Oryctolagus cuniculus: one gene and its partners. The protein of the gene in region 1 interacts with the protein of each later gene in a biochemical or structural test. Links are inferred from orthologs where the notes say so. Each region holds a gene or a part of one and is shown on either strand. Other genes may lie near its edges.

What was found.
Region 2: the proteins of NCK2 (region 1) and LIMS1 form a complex in vitro, tested with the Homo sapiens proteins (4 studies listed by BioGRID and IntAct, with this or other methods). The link is inferred for Oryctolagus cuniculus from reciprocal best matches to the Homo sapiens genes NCK2 and LIMS1.
Region 3: the proteins of NCK2 (region 1) and ERBB2 form a complex in vitro, tested with the Homo sapiens proteins (2 studies listed by BioGRID and IntAct, with this or other methods). The link is inferred for Oryctolagus cuniculus from reciprocal best matches to the Homo sapiens genes NCK2 and ERBB2.
Region 4: the proteins of NCK2 (region 1) and PDGFRB form a complex in vitro, tested with the Homo sapiens proteins (2 studies listed by BioGRID). The link is inferred for Oryctolagus cuniculus from reciprocal best matches to the Homo sapiens genes NCK2 and PDGFRB.

Annotation. Positions count from the first base shown.
Region 1 is NC_091433.1:102,702,016-102,704,257, forward strand, and holds the end of NCK2 (cytoplasmic protein NCK2), read right to left. Parts: intron 1,604-2,242; coding exon 1,409-1,603; 3' UTR 542-1,408; downstream 1-541. UniProt on the Homo sapiens protein: Adapter protein which associates with tyrosine-phosphorylated growth factor receptors or their cellular substrates. Maintains low levels of EIF2S1 phosphorylation by promoting its dephosphorylation by PP1.
Region 2 is NC_091433.1:100,159,100-100,163,345, reverse strand, and holds the start of LIMS1 (LIM and senescent cell antigen-like-containing domain protein 1), read left to right. Parts: upstream 1-1,422; 5' UTR 1,423-2,725; coding exon 2,726-2,907; intron 2,908-4,246. UniProt on the Homo sapiens protein: Within the IPP (ILK-PINCH-PARVIN) complex, binds to F-actin, promoting F-actin bundling, a process required to generate force for actin cytoskeleton reorganization and subsequent dynamic cell adhesion events such as cell spreading and migration.
Region 3 is NC_091448.1:22,692,084-22,696,381, forward strand, and holds the start of ERBB2 (receptor tyrosine-protein kinase erbB-2), read right to left. Parts: upstream 2,804-4,298; 5' UTR 2,583-2,803; coding exon 2,510-2,582; intron 1-2,509. UniProt on the Homo sapiens protein: Protein tyrosine kinase that is part of several cell surface receptor complexes, but that apparently needs a coreceptor for ligand binding. Essential component of a neuregulin-receptor complex, although neuregulins do not interact with it alone.
Region 4 is NC_091437.1:37,460,096-37,464,151, reverse strand, and holds the start of PDGFRB (platelet-derived growth factor receptor beta), read left to right. Parts: upstream 1-1,242; 5' UTR 1,243-1,687; intron 1,688-4,056. UniProt on the Homo sapiens protein: Tyrosine-protein kinase that acts as a cell-surface receptor for homodimeric PDGFB and PDGFD and for heterodimers formed by PDGFA and PDGFB, and plays an essential role in the regulation of embryonic development, cell proliferation, survival, differentiation, chemotaxis and migration.

The DNA of each region.
Region 1 (2,242 bases):
GCTCTGAAATTCCTTCCAAAACTCTGGGTTTGCATCCCCTTGTGCATGACGTCATGCCTAACCGTCTTGGTCCCTACAATGGGGATCACGGTGGTGGTAAGCACGGGGTGGGGAGGACGCGCCATGTGCATCAGTCCTGGTCCACTAAGAGGGCACTGATCCGCGTGCCGTGAGTTGCACTCCCACGGCCTGGCATGCGGCCGCCATCCACTAAACACGGACAGATGGAGAGAGCCAGAGCGCAACATCCGAGGAGGGCCACCGGGAATGCAAAGACTCTGGCTGGCGACCGTCGAGAAAACATTCTGAAGCCAGCAATTCTCAAAGAGCGAAGTTAAGAGCAAGCTTGTTGGAGTTTCCCTCGTTAGCAGGGGTTATTTCAATATTCAAAAACGCGGTGGCAAGAAAGTCACAGGGAGTGCACTCCTGACCCTGCCCTTGAGCCTGGTTCTTCCTTTCAAGCTGGGAGAAGTCACCCAACACAGCGGTCACCCCTCCCCCACAGCAGTTAGCGTCTCCCCAAAGACAAACGCACACAGGATCGTGTCATAATACTTTTTTTTTTATTACAATATTCAAAAAAACTGGGTATGCAAGTTTAGGGGATCGCAAGACCCCTTCTTCCATCATAGGAATGTGCCATCTCAAGACTGTATATTTAAACTATAAAGAAGTTCAAATGTAAAGAAAAAAAGGGAACACGATTTCTTCATAAACATCTTGTGTCTCTGACTACCAATCACATTTTCTTTTGTAAACCCTGAAAAATTTCCCTGTAAAGCAAATAAAATATTTAAGTATATACACACACATACACAGACATGCACACGCATGTGTACAGCGTGCATGTGTGTGCGTGGGTGTGTGTATGCTTGTGTGTGGAGTGTTGGTAGCTCCGCTTCCCCCACAGATCAGCTGTTTTCCTGAATCATCCCGCATTAGTGTCAACAACCAGCTACAGATACGTAGGACTTGGAGAACTGAATACATCACCGTGAAGTTCAAAGGAGCTGCAGGCAAGAGCAAACAGCGCTACGTGGATGGCACACTTCAGGGGTCAACGACCAAAACGCGTGTCTTATCTTGAGTCACCGGGTCCCTCCGTTGCAGAATGCCTCTCGAGGAAAATTCTTTATTGCAAGCACGGCCCCAAGGCACTGGACAGCTCCCTCGTGGCCTGCGCAGCCTGGGGGCCCTGGCTGCGTGCACGGTGGCCCTCCAGCCGTGCCCAGGGTCTCCACGTGAGCAGAGGGTTGCCGCCACTAGTTGGAGAGAAATAAAGTGAAGACACTCGGCCCTTCCGCCTCCTTCTAAGACCAGCCAGGAGGGATGGTCGCACCCGGCGGTGGCGCCCGGAGCTGGTGGGCGCAGCGCGGCGCGGCCCCGACCCGAGGGCCCACGGCACAGGTCACTGCAGCGCCCGGACGAGGTAGAGCTTCTCCCCGTGCTCGCTGGTGAAGATGGGGGCCTTTTTGTAGTGTTCCACCAGCTCGTCCATGGTGTGGAATCGCCGCTGCCCAATGCAGTACACATTGTCCACGAGCTGCACCTTGAAGTGTTTGTTCTTCCCTGACGCTTTGAGAGACACGGAGAAGTCGCTGGGCTGCGGGAGCAAACGGCACAGATTACACCAGGGCCCGAGAGGGCGCGGGCTGCACGCTCTGGGGTACTCCACCCCTCTCCCCACGGGCCACACCCCCGGGCCACAGGGTTCCCAGAGGCGCAGGTGTCTACCACGGCACCTGCCGCTCCGCCCGACGACCCCTGCTCAAGGACTTCATTTGGCTGAGTATTCAGTGCTGAACACACCTCCTTCTTTGACACGTGGGACCCGAATGCTAGGAAACACTTTTCACTTCCCGAGCTGTTTTTGAGAAACTGGAATCTAAGACAAGTGGTTTCCATGCAGGCAGAGGCTAGAAATTTCCCTTCTTCTGACTTCTAATACTATTAGAAATTAAACCTTTTTTTTTTTTTTTAAAGTCTAAGCCATTTAAAAATAAACGCCTAGGGCAGGTGTCTGGCCTAGTGGCTAAGATGCTGGTAAGATGCTTGGCGTGTACAAAGGGAGGAGGGCCTTGCCTCATTTTCAGCAGTGAAGGGAAGGGGGAGGGGTCCTGGCCTCCCTGGGTGACCTCAGCCCCTCGGAGCTCCCCCCGCAGCTGCGTCACCTGGCCCCTGCCTATTGTCCCAATCAATGAGCCTAAAGCATAACCTCCCCCACACAGTGCCCATTCTAGTC
Region 2 (4,246 bases), about 2.5 Mb from region 1:
TGTGGGCATTTGGGGAGTAAACCAGCAGATAGGAAGATGAGAGTGTTTCTCCCTCCCTCCATCCCTCCCTCCCTCACCTTCTTAAATTAAAATAAATAAATAAAGTATACGGGGCCATCATTGTAGCTCAGTAGGTCAAACTGCCACTTGCGATGCCAGCATCCCATATTATAGTACTAGTTCAAGTCCCAGCTGTTTGGCTTGTGATCCAGCTTCCTGCTAGTTCTCCTGGGAAGACAGTGGCAGATGGTCTAAGAGCTTGGGGCCCTGCCACCCCTATGGAAGACCAGAGTGGAATTCCTGGCTCTTGGCTTCAGCTTGGCAAAAACCTGGCTGTTATAGCCATTTGGAGAGACCAGTGGATGGAAGGGAAGGGATCTCTCTCTCTGCTTCTCTCCTCTGTGACTCTGCCTTTAAAATAAATATTTTTTTAAAAGTCAATGGAGTTTGTATACCTTAGATAAAAGGTTTTCGGGGGTAAAAAAAAAAAGTAAATGGGCCAGTTTTGTGATATAGCAGATTGGTCCACTGTTTGCTCTGTAAGCATCGCATGTCAGAGCGCTGGTTCGAGTCCCAGCTGCTCCACTTCCAATCCAGCTCCCTGCTAATGTTCCTAGGAAAGCAGCAGATGATGGCTCAAGTACTTGGGCCCCTGCCACCTACATGGGAGACCCAGATGGAGTTCCCAGCACCTGGCTTCATCCTGGACCAGCCTTGGCCATTGTGGCCATTTGGGGAGTGAACCAGCGGGTGAAAGATCTCTAATTAAATCTTTTTTAAAAAATAAACAATGGGATAATATTAGCAATTAATTTAAAAACTCTTATTTACGTATTTTCACTTTATTTGAAAGGCAGAGAAAGACTTACTATCAGCCCTCCTAGCATGTGTGAGTTGCAGAGAAATGTTTCTGCTTCAGTATTTATGCTGAGAATAACTGATTGGGGCTTTTGTTCCTAAGGAGAGGCTGATGGGAAGTGGATGTGTGACAGGAGATCTCTAAGTCTTTCATGGCCATCTTTTCTTCCTTCAGAACCTCAGCTCCCTTTTCTGTCTGGCAGAAAGAAAAGAGGAAAGAATTAGTTCTGGCATTTGGAAACAGTGCAAATATGTCTTCAATACTCTTAAACTGATTGATTAAATATTTTAAAGATATTTTCATAATATATGATACCTTTGATCATAAAACCAGCTCGTATTGAGGTGCCTAATGTTTTGGAGTTTTTGGGCCAGCTCTGTGGTGTAGTGGCTAAGGCTGCCACCTGCCACACTATTACCCCCTATGGGCGCTAGTTCCAGTCCTGGCTGCTCCATTTCACATCCAGCTCCCCACTAATGTGGTTGGGAAGGCAGTGGAGGATGGCCTAAGTCCTTGGATCCTGCACTCACGTGGGAGACCCAGAAGAAGCTCCTGGCTCCTGGCTCCTGGCTTCTGCCTGGCCAAGCCCTGGCTATTGCAGCCATTTGGAGAGTGAACCAGCAGGTGGAATATCCCTCTCTCTGTCTCTTCCTCCCTCTCTTTCTAACTCTGCCTTTCAAATAAATAAATAAATAATTTTTTTAAAAGTTTACAAGTTCTATTTAGGGTACTGTATGCCACGTACCCTCATTAACATATTCCCAGCTGCAAATAGAGGCAACCAGAAAAAAGCAGTAGCTTCCCCTTCCTGTGGTATCCCCTGAAGGGCCAGAAGCAGCTAGGTGGAAGAGACTTGGGGAAGGGCATAGAGCTTCCACCCTCATTGTGCCTCCACGTGTTACAGGGCCTGCCCTCGGCAGGAGCTATGCCATGAGCGAGGAACCTTGCTAAAAAATCAACATATATCAAGTTGCCCTTGGCCTCTGTAATTGTTGGATGGCACCCTGTGCTGCAAGGACTGAGCCCTGAGAGAGGTTCTGTGGGCCCTGGGACCTCATCATGGTCACTGTCATTACTGATAAGAATCCAAGAGAACCTGGTAGTATGGACTAAATACAGCAAGAATGGCAAAGCATGGAATGTCTTCTTCAGTCGTGACAAAGATCACGAAACACTAGCCCTGAGTTATGGGGTTAGCTGGGGTGAGATTGGAAAAAGAGTTACGATTAAATTCTAGCACTTCCCTATTTCTGCCTGCATGCATTCACTGAATGTTGAACTCTTGCTGTGTGCCAAGGGCGAAGGTGATAGAAGTCAAACACAGCTGTTCGCAGCAGGCTCCTGGAGTCCTGGGGGAAGGCAGCCATGGCATAGCTGGCCATCATGCCCTGAGATCCAGGGTGCCCCAGGCAGGGAGGCTCCCAGTGTCTGGCAACGCCAGCCTCTCGAAGGGCTCGTCGGGGGTGTTTGACAAGCTAGCCAAAGATTCGTATGCCCACCAAAGCTGAGAGCACGGTGCTGGTTGGTGGGGGTGAAGCCAGATGCCTGCCCAGGGCACTGTGGGTGTTAAGTCCTCTCTTCCTGTGGTATTCTTTATGGTTGCAGTTCACCAGCAAGGCTGCTCTGAACACCACTGTGCTCCTAGAACTTCCGGAAGGCCTCACAAAATGCAGGCTGGTGTGCCGACCAAGTGCTGTGCTGCTGAGCCCTTCTGTGGAGTGTCAGCTGCAACGCTGGCAGCTGGGCTGACATGCGTGGGAACGGGGGTGTGACGCTGGCAGGGAGGCGGGGAGGCCTGGATATTGTTTCCCCTGCCGCGTCCTGTCGCACCAGTCCCTGTGCGGGGAGCTCTCGGCTACATCCACAATGGCTTTCCCAGGCCAAGTGCGCCCCTGCGCTATCCCAGAGAATGAAGAGCTGTCCCAGACAGTCCTGAACAGCGTCCACCAGGCTAATGGGAGTGAAGATGAGAGGGCCGTGTCCAAACTGCAGCGCAGGCACAGTGACATAAAAGTCTACAAGGAGTTCTGTGACTTTTATGCGAAATTGTGAGTGTCTTTCCTCTGGACCTGGTGTCCCGGGCTCTCTGACTCCTCAGGCCTTCTGACCTGCCATGCGCATTTCTGTGTTCTGGGCTTTCTCTGGGGGTTTTCCTTTGTGATCTGAGGGCTCTGAGGGCAGCTCACGACGCAGCATGTGCCAGGGAGGCAGTCAGGTTGCCTTGTTGCTGTCACTGGATGGCACGCAGATGGGAAGGAGAGTGCTGCCTTCATGGTGAGAGTCTTTGTCTTCAGTGGGTTCCTGATAACAGTGCAGCTTCATGATGCTGTCCAGACGGGCGGTTAGAGTTTTTATCATCAGTGGGTTTATAACAGAAAAGCATTACACTCTAAAACTTCCCGAAGATGAGAAGCAGGTTGAGCAGTAAAAAATTGAAGTACTGAGTGTTGATACATATTTTTTTATTAACAGAAGTTTTAAGTAGGCTCACTGGGTTTCTTAAGATTATTGACCTCATTCAAAGTTGTAAGCTTGGAATCATTGCCGATCCCCGGTTTGTCTGGTAAGAGTTAAGGAGAATTTAACTGATCCGATTCCCTATTACTGTGATCACTTCTGCTGCAGCGTTTAACAGATGTCATTTAGCTTCACAACTCATGGAGCTCTGTTTGAGAGCAACCGGGGAATTGTAAGATCATGACCAGTATCTTTACGGGCTTGGTGAACTCTCCAGGTCATTTTTGGATGCATTTGTTATTGCATATTAAGACCAGAACATTTGTTCCCCATCCTGTGATAAATGAGGCACTTGAATAATGGAAAGCTAGATGGTGTGGGACTGCTGTGTGAGATGGGTCTGTGGAAGGAGATCAGGTTGTGGCAGAGGTGCGCCCTCGCTCTCCCTCTCTTTCTCACACACACACTCACACACACTCACCCTCACACTCTCTCCTTCCATGTCATCAACACTTTTTAGTGGAAGTCTTTTTCTGGAAAATTATCAGTTATGGATAATCTAATGACAGCTACAGTGATCACTCAAAACTTTTGAAAAGTAACTTCAGTCATATGTCATGTTAAATGTAAAGAAACACTTATAGAAAGTAGCGTGCAGAGAGTCAAGTTCAGGTGGCAACAGCAAACCTGAGCAGTTTGGTGGGATGGTGCTTGTTATTGAAGACTACTTCTTAAAAAGACACACTTGTTTCTTTTTCCTGTGTATGGGAAATACACTATGTGCTTGTTCTTATAACGTGTCTACCTATTTCCTAATTCTATCTGAGTATTTGAACTTGCATATAAACCATCTATAGTATAGTGGGTATAAACATAAGTGATACTCAAACATTTTGATCCAGGGATCTCTTTATACTCTTAAAAATTACT
Region 3 (4,298 bases), on another chromosome or scaffold:
GGCCTCCACACCCTCCTGCCCTAAGTCCCCTATGATGCTGAGAGGGCCCAGGAGAAAGGCAGGCATGGGCTGGACAGGAAGGGAGAGGACTCCACAGCCGGGAGGGGACCTCAGGCCCCCCAGCTCAGCCCCATTTCCCCTAGCCAGGTTCGGAGGTCCACCCCAAAACAGAACAGCATCCCTATCCCTTTAGGCTAAGGTTTGGGTCAAGCCATTCCTGTTGTGTGGACTTTGACCAACTCTTAAGGCCTCTTCATTGGCTAAGGAGCCTTGGCCAAGTCCGTGGGTTCTCTGAACTTCAGTTTTCCACCTGTGCCCCTGTCTCAGGATTGTTAGAGACGGAACGGAGCCATCTGCACTTGAGCACCTGCCTACAGGAAGCGCACTGCAACTTCTTAAAAACTTGAGGCAAGGGTTTCATCCAGCAGGAGTACAGGTGATCCCAGTTCAGGAGAAAATGCGCATTGTATTTGACCTTGAAAGTCAATATATTTTTCTTTTTACATTTGAGCCTTTCTTTGCTATTGTTTTTTTTTTTTCTTGGACATGAAAATGAACACTTTTAGTAGAAAGAGGGAAGGAGGTTCTTGGGAAGATCACACTGGAATTAAAATATGAATGAACAGTGAAAAGGATGCGTTTGGTGCAATTTACAAATCTTGACCGCTGAAAAAGATCTCAGCAAAATCCTGGCCCCCTGGCCCTTGCCCCTGGGCCTCCCCTTCCAACATCCCTGCCCCAGCCCACAGCCCTGGGGTAGAACCTGGCTGCTGGGTGGGATGTGCCTGCCTCTGTAACCATTCCCCATGCAACACACTCAGTGTCTCTCTGTAACTCAGCGTGAGGACCTGAGGAGGCCCCGGTCAAGAGGAGTCTACCCCAGCAACGCAGCCGCCACCGCCTGCTCTGCTCCCAGGCAAGGAGAGGAGGGCGGCCCCTCGCCATGGGCAGAGGTGAAGTTGCACGCCCAGGGAAGGAGGGAGGGAGGACAGGGACCTCCCTCTGCAGCCACCCAGCAGGCATGGGGCCACCTCCTGCTATTTACAACAGATCTGGCCCAGCACCTTGAGGGCGTTCCTGGAGAGGGCAGAGTTCAGCCTGCGTCCCCAAGTCATCAGGGAGACTGATGTTTGGCAACACAAGGCCCAGACACACAAACACAGACCATAATTCAGGACCACCTGGCACAGCCCCAGACACACACTGACAGCTCGCAGACAATGCGGCAAGGCCCTGGCGAGGACCCGGGAGAGCACCACGGATGCACTGCCACCCACAGCTCCCCAGACTCCCTGAGTGCCAGGGGCCACCTCACCCTGCTCCCACAGCACCCTCACCCAGGGATGCAAGGGGCAGTGCCCCCCACCGGCTCAGGTGGACCCCAATCATCATTTTCAATGTGCGGCTAAGGCTTGTGCTGCCCTGGGCCGGCTGTGAGCCCCACCACAAGCCAGCAGCCGCCTCCCTCTTTGGGCCCCGTTTTTCACCTGCAACGTGGCCTTCTGTTAGGAAGACGAAAGGAGGGAATGCATGCAAAACACCACCCACGGGCCCAGCAGAGTGTACTGGGCACAGAGTGTGTGTTAGCTTTTATCCTGACTTCGTGCAGGCGGACAGCAGGGTCGGGATACACACCTCTCCACTCACCCTCCCCGTCCCCTCACAGCAGGAAGCAAAAAGACAGCAGAAGCACCCGGCCCCTGGGATACCCCCGTCTGGCCACAGCTGCCCCGATATGCCGCCCGTGGAACTCTCCAAACCAGGAAACCCACCCTCACCCCTCTCTGGTCCAGGCTCTCCACAAGTCACAAAGCCCGCAGGCCCTGTAGGAACTGGCTCAAAACAAACCAGGGCCCCTCCCCCTCGCCCAGACCCCAGCGCCAGGGACGCGTGCAGCTCGCCAGGCCACTCTCCCCGGCCCGCGGGGCAGGTTGCTCTGCCCACCTCCCCCTTCACCCCCGGCCCCGCCTGAAGCCGGTACTCAAACGCGGGCGGCTGGAGGGGGCGGGGAGGGGGGAGGGGCAGGGCAGAGAGGACCCCCCCCCAAGGAATCCAGCCCAGTCCAGTCCGGAGGCGGAGGCTGCCAACTGGAAAGGCTTTGAGAAGGCTGGCGGGGGCTCGGCGCGGGGAAACACGCTCGCGCGCGCGCGCGCGCACGCACACTCCCACACCCACCCCGCAATCCACCTCGGCGAAAACTTTGGGCGCAATCTCGGAGAACTTTTCTGACAAGTCCCCGGAGCCCGCTGGGAGTCCGGCAAGCGCCCGGGCCCTAGAAAGGGGCGATCTCGAGCCGCTTCGGTGGGGGTCGCCCCCAACCCCGCCTCCACCTTCTCTCGCCCCCTCCCGGCCCGAGCGCCCCGCGCCGGGAAAGCCCGAACTTAACGAAACTTCGGCGAGGAGGGCTCGTCGGGCTCCTCGGCCCCCGCCAGCCTGGGACTTCGGACCGGAGACCCAGGCTGCGGGGGGGGCCCTTCACTACCCCATCCCCTCCCCACGCCAGACCCACCTTGGGTGCCCGCGGTTCCGGGGGGCAAAAGGGCGAGGAGGAGCCCCCAGCGGTACCAGGCCGCCAGCTCCATGGTGCTCACTGCGGCTCCGGCCCCATGGCTCCGGCTGGACCAGGCTGGGAGTGCGCGGGGCTCGGCGAGGGGGTGGGGGCCGGGCGCGCGGCTGCCGGCGGGCACTCCTAGTCTCTCGGCTCGCGCTGGAGGGGAATCTCAGCTCCACAACTTCATTCTCGTACTTCCTCAAGCAATCCTACTCCTCCACCACCTCCTCCTCCTCCACCTCCTCCTCCTCCTCCTCCTCCTCCTCCTCCTCCTCCTCCTCCCGTGATTGGGAGCAGGCGCGCTCACGGCTCGCCCCCCCACCCCCGCCGCTGCATTCCAGCAAGTCTGGGAGTGGCAACTCCAGCTTCGCTTTCTCCCTCTCCCGGCGCAGGCCTGGGTGCGTCCGTGCCAGCGCCCGGACGCCGGGGTTGCCCGCAGCAGTCCTCACGCAGAGCCGGGCAGAGGGATCCCGCCGCCTGCCCCGGAGTGCGGGCGAATTCTCCAGGCTGCCACCCTCCGGTCTCTCCGAAGCCTCGGGTTAGATCTGCAACATTCCCGGGGAGTTTGCATCCTACCGCGTCCCGCGCCTGTTTGTTGTGGTATCGAATAATGGCTTGCCCGCCGGCGCACTCAAGTAAACCTGCCGGCCTGGGAGCGGGGATGAGCTGGGGTCCAGGTGCGGCCTCCAGGAGCCCTTTGGACAGCTCCTCGGCTGTTGTAGGGATCTGGTCCGGGCTGAGAAGCAAGACCTACACATTTGGGAGGGGACAGTGAAATCGGAGGCAGCAGGGCTTCAGTCCCTGGCCGAGCGTTCTTGTTTTCCGTAAGGCTACGCGCAGAACCCAATCCCTCCCAGGTTTGTTCCTCGCCTTTTCCCGCCTGCTGAGCGCCACCCCTCCACCCTGCATCCATCCCGCCTGAATTCCGGCCCCTACTCTTAAACCTCCGTGGTGGCAGTGCGCCTGGAAAGAAGACCGATTTTTGCTGAAAGACAAAATACGACATGGGACATTGTATCCTAACAAATTGCTCATTATTTATCTGAGATTCAGATTTACGGGGCACCCTTATTATTATTTGCTAAATCTGGCAATTCTGAATGCCCCCCCACTCCACCCCGGAGCCCAAGAGCACATCAGTACGGGTCAAGAGGAGTGAGACGCTGCTCTGGGGTCTGGAGAGAGAAGCAGACGGACGTTTCCTAACCTGCGTCGTGGGCTGAGCACTGAGAGAGGCAGGCTGGGAACAGCGGGCTCTGGAATCAGGGAGCCCTGTGTTCAAGTCGCGGCTCCATCACATATCAGCCACTCAGACGGCACTTGGCACATGAAGATTGCTCAGTACACACTTCCAGATTTACTCATAGTGGGAGAGATGTAGGTTTTGTGGGGTCTGGGGTTTATAAAATTTGAGAGACTCTCTTTAAAAAAGAGTTGGAGAGAGATGGCAGGACTCCCACATCAGAGTCCTGGCTGCACCATGCTTCCGATTCAGCTTCCTGCTAACGTGCCTGGGAAGCAGCTGATGATGGCTCAAGTGCTTGGGTTCCTATCACCCACACAGGAAACCTGAATGGAGTTCCAGTCTCCTGGCTTTGGACTGGCTCAACCCTGGCTGTTGTGGGCATTTGGGGAGTGAACCAACAGATGAAAAATAAACCTCTCTCTCTCAAATAAATAAATACATATTTTTTTTTAAAAGAAAGTGATGGAGAGGCCAACACTGTGGCATAGCGGGCAAAGCCAC
Region 4 (4,056 bases), on another chromosome or scaffold:
CAAGGAAGAGCATCAGCCGGGGACCTGGGCCTTGGCAGACCCCTGTGGGGAAGGCGGGTGGGAGGAATGGAAGTGCCCCAGGGCAGGGGAGAAGGAGGGCAGGGGTGCCATCTGTGCTGGCGGGCGTGTCTCCTCTGGCATGCGTCTCCCGAAGTCAGGTTCTGCCAGCTCTGCCCCTGCCCTGTGGGCCCAGGAAGTGCAGCTCACTTCTCCGGGCCTCTGTTTCCTTGCCTGTGAAATGGGGACAAATCCTCTTCTTGTCCTCTAGGGGCTTTGAGCACCCAAAACATGTATCTTGAGATCTGAAGCGGTGTGCTGGGTGTCCTTGGGCAGATTGTATTTCCTCCCTGGCCGGTTCGCATCGAGCCTTGCATTTGCCCTCTGAGCATCTTGGGGTGTCCTTCCCTCCCTTCTGGGTCCCATCCTTGAGAGGCGCTCCCTGGTTCCCTCAAGCTTAGGTCACATGTCCCTCTCGGGGGTGGGGAGCCTTTTTTTCTGCCAAGGGTCATTTAGGTATTTATAGTATGATTCCCAGGCCATACAAAATGATCAGCTTAAAAATGAGCCTGCTATGGATTTATTGAATTTTAGGCCCTGCCTGTGGCTGCCTTGGTAGGGCCAGGCAGCCTGATTCCGTGCCTTGCCTGACATGGCCTTCAGGCTGGACGACCCCCACCCCTGAGTCCACTCTCCCCGCCTCTCCTCCTGCTCAGCCAGGGCCCCCGATCAGAGGCGGCTGCTATGCCACTGTCCCCAGCCCTGAGTACCCCAGCTGGCACACAGCAGTTGCTTAATATGCCTGCAGAAGAACTGACTGATGGCCCAACCGGCCCTATAGATGACCAGAGCTTTCTTGACAGCTGGGGAAACTGAGGCACAGGGTGATTTCTCCCTCTCCCCCAGGTGCCATGGCAAGAGGAGACTGCCACCAGCCACCAGATACAGGCGGCAGGCGAGTGAGGCCCGGCCACTCTTTAATAAAAGTGACTCAGCGGCTGGCGTGGGCTGCGGAATTTCTAAACATCCCCTCACATCCTGAGAGAGCAGGCGACGGGAGGGAGAAAGCAGAGGGAAAGGAGGAAGAAAAACAAGAAACGGGGAAAAGAAAGAGAGAGGGAAAAAACCTGAAATTGAAAACAGACGCACGCGCCCACCCTCCCGCCCGCCCGCACCCCCCTTCCCCCGGCTGGGCCAATCAGAAGCCGCCCTGCAGCCTTTCCCCCAGAGTGGGGGGGCAGGGAAGCCCACAGTGGTGCGAGCTCCTGGGGCCGCCTGGGCCGGCAGTCCCCGCCCGCCCTCTCTGGGACCCGGGACAGTTCTGCGAGCCAGAGAGGAGATCAACAGGGAGGAGACGGCTGAGCCCCTGAGCCCTGCCTGGCCGGTGCCCTGCCCGCTCAGCCAGCCAGACCCAGGGCGGCCCCTCCTGGCGGCCCTGCTCCTCCCCAAGGATGCTTGGGGCGTGAGGCGAAACTGGGCCGCTCCTCCCCTGCAGCCCCCGGACCCTCCGTTCTCCTGAGTCTCCAGGAGTCTGCCACGGCCCTTCTTGCCTTTCTACCCCTGCTGCTGCCCCTTGTGGGTCCAGCGAAGTCTTTGTGATAACGGGGAGAGGGCAAGAAGGAGGACTTCCTGGAGGGGGTGACAGTCCAGAGCCCGGGACAGTACTCACACCAGAACACTCAGCAGCAAGGTAAGAACTGGGAGAGGTGGGAACCCCAGTCCCAGTGCCCTGTCCCCTTACCCCAGCCTGTGCCTCTTTGGGTAGGTAAAAAAAAAAATAAAAAATGCGAAATATTTTTAACAAAACCAGATGGGAAGAGGCTGGGCGGCTCTGGGTGATGTCAGGACTGGAGGAGCCAGTTCTCTCCATTCTCCTGCTCTGGGATGGGTGGCCTCTGCCATTGCCCCCTACCCCCATGAGCCCTGCTGCCTCCTGCCCTCATCAAACACCCCCAGAAGTTTCTGGGGGCCATGTGGGGGCCATGTGGGGACCACCGAGGCACAGTACGGGCTGCGGGGCTGGGGATAGCTGGCAGGAGCAGGAGTGAGGGGAACTGGGGGATGGCATGCAGGGGGCAGAGAAAGGGGGCCTCGCGGGGCACTGGGGACCTCAGGGCCACAGCCCCTGCCCCTCGGCCCAGCTCTGCTTCTAAGAATCGGCTCTGGCCCTGGGCCAGCCTGCCACTAGGCAACCTCTGGGGATTTAAATGGATTTGCAAATTTTCCAGATTCCTGAGATGTCCTTCCAAACCCCCAGCCGCTGGGAAAGTTTTGAGGGTGAGGGAGGCCCCCGTGGCCGCTGGGGCTGGGGAACTGAGGCCCGGCTGTCAGATCTGGGGGCTCCTTTGCAGGCGCAGGCGTAGGCGGCAGCTCTCAGGACCCCTCTTCGCCTCCCTCCAGCTGGACTGTGCCCCTCTCCTCTCCATCCTGGAACCGGAGGCTGCCGGTGGCTCCCCAGTGCCCGCAGGAGCCCCAGCTGCACCGATTGGCGTTTGCTGCATGCCAGGGCTGTGCTTTGTGAGCGGGCTCTGCTGCAGTGCTCACCAGAGGCACTGGGCGGCTATTTTCCCCTGCTTTCCACGGTGGGGGGTGCAGTGAGGCGAGTTGGGGGCAGGTCTTGGAGAGGTTGTAAGCGCCCCTGCCTCATTGCTGCAGACTCGGGCCTTTTGTTCCTGCCAGGCAGATCCTAGAATCCGAGAAGGAATTTGTACCAGCCTGCCTGTGGGCATTTGCCCTCGCGTCCTCTGCCTGGAATGCCCTTCCTCATCACTTTTCTTCCAGGGATCCTCCCTGCTCTGTCTCTTCCAGGCAGCCCTCCTGGCTCCTTCCAGTCTTGCAAGTGCTTGCCATGCACTTCGTGTGGCAGCCTTGCTGCTCGGCCCCCTCCTCTTGCTTGTGTGCCACTTACGCATCAGAGCCTGTCCAGGCCCCAGGCTTCCCTGTCTTGCCTTCTGTCCCCTGCGCCAGCCCTGGGCACCGAGGGATGGCTCTGCTTGCCTCTGTCGTCCCCAGAGCACACAAAGGCCTTCATCAAGCTGCTTCACAGTCATCGAGTCCTCCTGTGTCTCACCCATTCGGGGACATCCAGTCCCAGGCAGGCAGGCACACTCTGCAATCTTCTTAGCGAGGCTTTGAAATCCCTGTTGTTACTCCACTGTGCAGATGAGGAAACCAAGCCTGGGAGAGGCAGAGTGGCTTTCCCAGGGCTACGCAAGTCAGTCTGGTTGGTGCTGGGACCAGAGTCTGTCTTAAGCCAAAGGCTTAACCCTCCTGCTGCCAGAGCGCTCCTGGCCAGGGAGCAGTGGCGTGCGTGCGGAGCCTGCCCCTGGCGGGATGGAGGGAGTGCAGCTGTCTTCTGCAGGGCCCTAGCTTGGTCTGCAGAGAGGAAGGAGCCTGTGTGGCCAGCACCCTGCTCTCCTGCTCTTAGACAGAAGTTACCGGGCAGCCCTCCCTCCTCTGTGGGGAGAAGAGCTGGGACTTGTAACTGGCGCCAGATGTGAGGCAGGTGGTGGAAAGCACCGTGCATTCACAGTCAGCAGACAGAGCACTGGCCCTGGCTCATTCAAATCCGTGTGGGGCCAACCTCAGAGCTCCTGTCCCCTCCCCAGGCTGCTTCTACATCTGGGAGGCAGTGGGCACCGTGGATAAACAAAGCCAGGCTCGGGCATCAGATGACCAGTTAGTGACCAGCCCTCTGTCCCTTCAGCTTCTGGCTGTGTGACTCTGCGCCAGGGCTTTGCTTCTCTGGGCCTCAGTCTCCTCTGTGAGCAGTAGGGCAGTTTGTGGGAGCCGTGAGATGACCTAAGGCGCTGAATGAGGTCCCTGTATTTCCTGGGGGCAGCCCTGAGGCCACTGGCCGAGCGGGGTGATGGAGCCGGGGGCCTGCACCTGGGTATCTCTGATTCTAGAGCTGAGTGGGGTCGGGACAGCCCTGGGGACCCAGCATCAGCTGTGGAGGCCACGCAGCTTTCCAGAGGTGGTCAGCAGCCCATCAACCCCTGTGACCGTGGGCCAGTCCATCCCTCTCTGGGTCTTGGTTTTCCTATCCATCCACCAAGG